Sus scrofa: one gene and its partner. The protein of the gene in region 1 purifies or fractionates together with the protein of each later gene. This does not show direct contact. Links are inferred from orthologs where the notes say so. Each region holds a gene or a part of one and is shown in the gene's direction. Other genes may lie near its edges.

Region 1 (3,847 bases):
CAAAAGCAGGCCGACTGCATACACTGGCCTGGTTGTGCCTATAGTCCCTGTTCCCTGGGCCCAGACTTCCAAAGGGAATGTGTCTGGAGTAGCCCCTGGGCAGGAATAGGAGGTCCCCAGGACTCTGAGCCTGAGGGTTTCCCCTCACAGCCCTTATCCTCCCAAGGCTGACTTGAAGGTGAACCAATCAAACAAGCTCTTAAGGCCACATACTCCGCACCCTCCACTAGCCCTTCTGTCTGCTCTTAGAGAAGCATCAGAAACAAGATAACCTGGAGTTGTAAGTCGCCAGAGACAACAGAAAGAGCAACGTGACAGCAATTTATAGGGGTTCGAGCACCCAGCAACGTTATGCTTGAGGGAGGGAAGTGTCCCAGGCAGAGGAAACTAGGCAAAGACCCACATTAGAGAAGGAGAGGGATGCTAGTGGTGGGAGAGAGGCAGTAGGCTGGGAAGGGAGGATGGGAGGACTTTGGACAGAGAAATGGCCCCACGCTGTGGTTTTTTTGTTTTGTTTTTAAAGCCCCCTCCTTGCACCCCAGTGCCTACCACTGGTGCGGTAAGCGGGATCCGAAGGCCTAGAGATACCGTGGAGACCCAGCCCCTACTGACGCCTTTAAGTATCAAGATGCAACAACAGGACTACCTTCACGGGGACCTTTATATTAGTAGGTCAGGACCCACTCCTTCGGGGTGGCCAGGACTCACGGGACTATCTGCGAAGGACACTGGCTCTGCCTTTGGGCTGCAGGCAGAACGCTACTTTGGGAAAGTAGCACAGCCGGCAGCACTTGGGCTTGAGTGGATAAAGGGAGTGGAGGGCTAGGCGAGAGAAGCTAAGGCTGGGGTTCTAGGGAGGGTGCGGAGGTCGGGAGGCATGAGCTTGCAGGGTTGCAGAAGCCCACGGAACTGGCAGAAAGGGCGATGGACTCGCCAGTGCTTTAGGCCACCAGGGGGCTCCGCGCTTCTGCTCGGAGACCGACACACTCCCGGGGCGGGGCTGCGGCGGGCGCGCGCGCGCACGCGCCGTATGTCACGGGGCAAGGCGAGCGCGGCGAGGCGCTCCTGGCCTGGCGTCCTGAATCCACAGACCTCGCCATCTCTCTTGCCCCGGCCCGCCCCGGCCCAGCCTGGCCCGTCCCCATGTACCGCGCGCTGTACGCGTTCCGCTCGGCGGAGCCCAACGCGCTGGCGTTCGCCGCGGGCGAGACCTTCCTGGTGCTGGAGCGCAGCAGCGCGCACTGGTGGCTGGCGGCGCGGGCGCGCAGTGGCGAGACGGGCTACGTGCCGCCCGCCTACCTGCGCCGCCTGCAGGTGAGTGTGCCCCTCCCTGGCCCGACCTCTGCAGCCCCTAGGTCAGCTCCAGAACAGCCTCACAAGGCTGACCCGACACCCCAGGTCCGTTGGGACCTCCAACAGATAATGGAGTTTGAGAAACTGACCCTGAGACCACCCCCGCCACAAGGACTGGGGCTCTAAGAACCCGCACCCCCACAGAAGACCATGCCCTTGACAGCCAACTCTGAGGAGTCCAGACCCACCAAAGCCTAAATCTAGTACTAAGACTCCTTGGGATCGCGGACCCATCGGGACCCAACATCTGAACCCCCATCCAAATAGAATTCAAGAGTCAGTCCTGAGATTCCAGCAACACCAAATTCTGACCGGTTCCACACATCACTGAGACCCCAGACCTAATCAGCCCCTTCCTGGGATCCTCAGGATCCCACAGGCTTGCTTCTCATCCCTCAGCTTCCACCACGGAGACCTGGGAAACCCTGGACACTTCCTGTTTCCAGCCATCTCCATACCCTCACCCCACCCCAACTTGGACCCAGAAGCCTCATCCCCTAAATAACCCCCAAGCCCCTAGACCTCATGTCTTTGACTACCCTGTACTCTCTCATTTCCTAAACCCTTCCTAAGACACATTTGCTAACCCACTTTGAGCCAGAGATCCCAGTCCCTGCTGACACTCCCCGGCACTACTCTCTCTACCTTCTTTCACAAGCCTCAGGCCCTGACTTTTCAGACTTCCTTTCTCAGAAAGTGAGGGGCTCCATCTCTCCTTATCCCCACTCTGGGTGGGGGCTTCTCCCATTGCAAGGAAGTGAGACCTCTCCAGGGCTTCCCTTGGTCTGGCTGTAGCCCCATTTCCTTCCAGTAAAGGCTGCAGTCCCAGTTCCTGTTTCCCCAAGAATAGTCCTGGTGTGGGGGCTGGGGTGCATTGTCTCCAGCTGGTCTATTCTGATCACAGGGGAAGGAGGGCCTGGAGCCTCTAGGCCTGCCCTGTGCCAGACACCTCCGCCCCATCCTAGTCCCTAGTCTTTAGGAGACATCCTATCCCAGCCCAGTTCAGGACAGAAATAACAGGATAAATTTGGAGATGCCATCTGGTCTTGCCAGAGGGGATGGGCCCTGGACCCTTGGCCTCCTGGTATCTAGGAGTGTCTGGGGTGAGAGGGGGAGCCCTGGACACTAAGGCTGGTGAGTCTGGAATGAGCATGTCAGACTAGCCTCTCAGGGGCTGGGGGCTTGTTGGAGAACTGAGGGAAGTCCTGCGTCTTCCCCAAGGGCCTCTGAGACCCCTCCCCAACCTGGGCCACTGGGGCTGGGTGTTTGGGGCAGGCAGAGAGGCTATCATATTTTCTATCCCCTGGCTTCTTGCTGCATATCTCCCTCTGTCTTGGCCTCCCTAGTCGTCTTTATATCTCTGTGTCATTCTGACTCTCCACCTGTGTGTATCTCTTTCTTCCTCCGACTCTTTGCTTTCTCTCCGCATCTCAGTTTCTTCCCATGTTATCTCCATCTGCTTCTCCCCGCACCCCATCTTTCTTGCTTTCTATGTGTAGCCTGTCATTCTCTTTCTGTCCCCCTTTCCGTCTTCTGTCTCCTACACTGTGGCACTCCCCATGCTACCTGGAGGGCTTTGTTGACCTCTGAGTCCATCTGTCTGTTCCCATCAGAGAAATTTCACAAACCCACTCTGGAGTGCTATCACTTTAGTTCTGAGGTTCCAATGCCTGACGGACCATGTGTGCCAGGGGCAGGGAGGGGTAGGGGTAGCTGGTCCCACAGCTGTCACCCTCTTTTCCCCACCCCATGCCAGCCAGGACCTAGATTGGACCCTGAGTTACTGTGGATGGCAACACAGAATCTGGGCCAGGGGCCGGGGGCCAGGTCCCGTGCTCATGTCTGTCTTTTGCCACAAACACAGAACCATTGCTTCCCAGGGTGGGTCTGGAAGATTCCTAGAACAGTTTGAGGTGATGAGGGCTAGCAGCTGGGTGGGAAGAGGAGATCCCTTTGGCCCATCCTCAGCTACCAGGGCCTGCAGAAGACTCTCTGAGGACAGGGCTGTTCTGGAATGTGACCTTGATTTTGTGAAAGATCAGCAAGATCTAAAGTGATTTGTTAAATAGTTCCAAGCACTAGAGGCTCCTGGCTTGGCATCTCCACCAGGGATCTGAGCCAAGCCTGGGGATAGACTGTGTACTCATGACCTCAAACTAGGGGTCCCTGGGCTGTTTTTGCTCTAGACTCCGGGTTTTCAGACACATCTTAGCTAAGAGCCTCACTGTGAGGTAAAATCCTGAGTAGGCCCCAAGTATATAAAGCAGCACTCACCCTGTGGCCCAGCTCCCTGAGTTTGTGAACCCCATTTCATATTCTAGTTCATCTTACTATGTTCACCTAGCATCCTGGGCTTTAGCTGTAGTGGTCTTCTGTCTGCCCCAGGCTCCATCCTGGGCTGGTTCTGGGCTCAGTATCCTCACTTGGCCCCCAGGCCTAACTGCCCATCCCTGCTCCCACAGGGCCTGGAGCAAGATGTCCTCCAAGCCATTGA
Region 2 (3,915 bases), on another chromosome or scaffold:
GTACAATAGGTATCTTGACTTGTCAAGAGTTTTAATATGCTAATATTCATTGTGAATCTTTAAGAGTGGCATTTGCATACATTTCCCAAAGATATTTGACCTTGGAACTTTTTTCCAGGGACCATCTGGGGGCAAGTATTCTGAACATTATTCAGTCATTAATTAATCACTTGTTAATGTGTAACAGCCAGTATTTTCCTTCCTACTTTTGAACCCACAGAGATTTCCAAATTGGAGATTCCAGCAGTAGGTAAAATATGGTAACACAAATTTCTGGGAATTTTACATGGTCACCACTAGATGGCGGTTTCACCTCTACTTTTTCTTTTTTGTTTACTCTATAAACGAGGCACTTATTTTTTCTAACGTGGATTCTCTTCCATTTGTTCAGATGGTGACATTATAAAGCACTGGCCAACTATTTTTGAACTACTCACTAGAAAAAGTAATATTCAGCATCATATATGTTCTACTCTGCATGCCCTAAGACTACAATAATATCAGGTATAGTTAATAAAGCTAATTAATAAATTACACATTAGAGTTAATAGAATTCCAAACTCAAATAGACCTTAATGATAATTTGGTCCAATCCCTGTAAATAACAAATGAACGTGAGCATAAGAGTTTAAGTAGCACATACCAGGTCAAGGTGCTGATGGCCATTTAAAATTACAACACGGTTGATTTCATGCCTGTCTTTTCTTCTTTAAATGCTGACAAGACTTGTCACTAAAACTGCTAGCTTTTGTTCAAACAGCAATTGCTTCTATTCCATGGAAGAGTTCCCCTGTGGGGCAGCTGGTTAAAACTCCTACGTTGTCACTGCAGCGGCTTGGGTCACATCTGTGGCGCTTGTTCAATCCCTGGCAGGGGAGCATGCCACAGGCCTAGCCAAGAAAAGAAAGAAGAAATGCATGTGATGTGTCTACCAGAGACTTAAGAATTTAGAGCTCAACAAGTGATAATTACAGTAATCTGCTCATTAATTTAAAAACATTTAAAGTTCCCTCACTACTGTGGATGCATAAAATAATCTTCAGTATTTACTTAGGAGAGTAAAGAAGGAACCCCCCTTAAACACTTCAGAACCACTAGTACCAGGAACTAAATTCCTGGTCTTCATTATTCCACCCGAGCCTTAACCTTAGGACAACCAGCGAGTTAGCTCATGCGCAGCTTCGCCCCCTAAACCCAGCCTCTTGCCCATCTCCGCGCCAAAGGCGCCCGCCCACTTGTGCGCCTGCGCTGTGACCTAGACTTGGCGCATGCGCCGGGCAGGACGGGCCGGATTGAAAACTATGGCGTGGGTACCTGCAGAGGCTGCGGTGGAAGAGTTGATGCCCCAGCTGTTGCCAGTGGAGCCCTGCGACTTGACAGAAGGTTTCGATCCCAGCGTACCTCCGAGGACTCCTCAGGAATACCTGAGGCGGGTCCAGTGAGTGATTAGACCCTGTGCGGTGGGCTGGTGGTTCTCCCTGCGCACAGCGCCCAGTGCCTCGCCCCACCACCAAATTTGATAAAGCCCTGTCTCTGATCCCGTCTCCAGTTTAGGACCGGATCAAGATCCCTTCATTGCATCTATGAACTTAATTTTGCTAAACGTGATTACTCGTGAGAAGATAACGTGAACTTAAATTTCTTTGCTTTCAGTCCAGATAATTTCAGAAATATATCGTTTAGTACCTCAATTGCAATTCTGAACTTTTTTTTTCTGATTTTGTAATGAACTGTAGAAGTGGATCGCTTGTTTTAATGCGCATGAACAACAGTAATCACGTTTCTTGCATTTATTATTTGTTTGTAGGATCGAAGCAGCTCAATGTCCAGATGTTGTGGTAGCTCAAATTGACCCAAAGAAGTTGAAAAGGAAGCAAAGTGTAAATGTTTCTGTGAGTTTTATTACCCGTCAGGGGATTTCCCACTCCCAACTACAAATTAAAAGACCAAGGCTCTTAGTATAGTATCAGATAGTATCAGGCAGTATCAGTTAAGATTTGACTACTCTGTAGTAAGTTAGTAAATTAGACATTTGCTTGTACTTTGTCCCCTAAAAGGACAGATTCCATTTACTGCTTCCATAGAGGCTTTTGGTAACCCTAGCATTCATGGAGATTTGCTCATAATACTTTAAGAAGATGATCAAATCCTAAAGGAGGCTTTAAATAAGTTACTTACGCTATCCTTTATTTTTAAGGTATCTTTTTGCACTTCTTCATAATTATTATTGGGCTGATATTTAACTTTAATGTAGTTTGCATGTTCTGAATTTGACTGGCTTTTGTTTTTTAAAAATTTGAAATCAAAATATCTTACACTTTTCTAGGTATTTTGCCACTGTAAACCTTTTCATTTGTTTATCCAGCACACTTTTTACAAAGCAACTCTGTTGTGCTAGACACTGGAAATACAACAGAGGATGAAACAAAAAATATGTCCCTACCCTTGTAGAGTTTACATTCTCCTGAGAAAGAAGAAAAGCAAACAATTTAATTGCGTATTTTGACTCTTGCTGTGAAGAAAGTTAACATAATGACCAATAAGTAACAGGGATTAGCAGCAGAAGGTCTCCTTAAGGAGGTGCTATTTAACCCACAGTGGAAGGAGAGGATTCAATTTGTTTTTAAATTGTAATAATTCCTTTTCCTTTTATGTTCTAAGTAATTCCTTTATCTCATGTTTATAATCAGGAGATTTTAATTCAGACACTATAGTTTTCATGTAATTCCTTTTCAGAAGTTTTTAGTTGCTGGAAGATGATACCTTATATATCTGGCTTTTAAAAAATGACCATACTAGGAGTTCCCATTGTGGCTCAGTGGTAACAGACCTGACTAGGAGGTCATGGGTTCAATCCCTGACCTAGCTCAGTGGGTTAAAGGATCTGGCATTGCTGTGAGTTGTGGTCTATGTCACATATGTGGCTTGGATTCAGCATTGCTGTGCCTGTGGGGTAGGCCAGCAGCTACAGCTCCAGTTTGACCCCTAACATGGGACCTTCCATATGCCATGGATGCAGGCCTAAAAAGACAAAAAAAAAAAAAAAAAAAAAAAAAAGACCATACTAAGTTTTATTTCAAGGCAATATGTGATCATTTATCACCTATGTGCTATTTTGGGAAACAGAAGTAGACCTTGTAAAGTCAAAAGTCTTAAATTACTTGAGTACATTCTACTCATACCAAGATTCTTTTTTTGGAATATATCTCTCTTTTTGTTTCAGACTGTTTTGCTGTTATAGAAAAGTAGGGCTAGATTATATCTTCAGGGCTCGTATGATTTGTTTTTTTTTTTTTTTTTTTTTTTTTGTCTGTTTTAGGGCTGCACCCGCAGCATATAGAGGTTCCCAGGCTAGGGGTCCAATCGGAGCTGTAGTTGCCAGCCTTTGCCACAGCCACAGTAGAAAGTAGTATTCCTACTTTTATTAGCTCAGACATAATTTTAAGCTCTTTAGTAGATATGTTATTGATGGACTAGTAGATAAAAGAGGGTGTTGGGGGAGGCTAGGGGTCCAATCAGAGCTGTAGTTGCCAACCTACACCACAGCTCACGGCAATGCTGGATCCTTAACCCACTGTGCAAGGCCAGGGATCAAACCCACAAGCTCATGGATGCTCGTCAGGTTCATTAACCACTGAGCCACGACTGGAACTCTTGGATTTCTTAATACATATAATATATACATAAATATATAAACTATAAGCCATTCCATATTGCTCTTACTAAAGTGATCATATAAGGGGTCTTTTCCTAATGTCTTATGTCTCAGACATAAATAGTAAAGAGAATTCCCTTTTTTACATCTGAAAAAAAATTTATAGAAATTTATTTCTTGTGTAGTCTTATTTGCTTTATTATTCATTTTTCGTCTTGATTCTGCTTTTACTTTGCAGAAGCATGAGATTCTAGTTATAA

Evidence for each region.
Region 2: the proteins of NCKIPSD (region 1) and GEMIN2 purify together in Homo sapiens (co-immunoprecipitation; 3 studies listed by BioGRID and IntAct, counting the BioPlex papers as one, with this or other methods). This does not show direct contact. The link is inferred for Sus scrofa from reciprocal best matches to the Homo sapiens genes NCKIPSD and GEMIN2.

The regions. Positions count from the first base shown.
Region 1 is NC_010455.5:31,374,856-31,378,702, reverse strand, and holds the start of NCKIPSD (NCK-interacting protein with SH3 domain), read left to right. Parts: upstream 1-1,018; 5' UTR 1,019-1,143; coding exon 1,144-1,314; intron 1,315-3,815; coding exon 3,816-3,847. UniProt on the Homo sapiens protein: Has an important role in stress fiber formation induced by active diaphanous protein homolog 1 (DRF1). Induces microspike formation, in vivo. In vitro, stimulates N-WASP-induced ARP2/3 complex activation in the absence of CDC42.
Region 2 is NC_010443.5:169,674,899-169,678,813, forward strand, and holds the start of GEMIN2 (gem-associated protein 2), read left to right. Parts: upstream 1-1,253; 5' UTR 1,254-1,268; coding exon 1,269-1,438; intron 1,439-1,807; coding exon 1,808-1,892; intron 1,893-3,915. UniProt on the Homo sapiens protein: The SMN complex catalyzes the assembly of small nuclear ribonucleoproteins (snRNPs), the building blocks of the spliceosome, and thereby plays an important role in the splicing of cellular pre-mRNAs.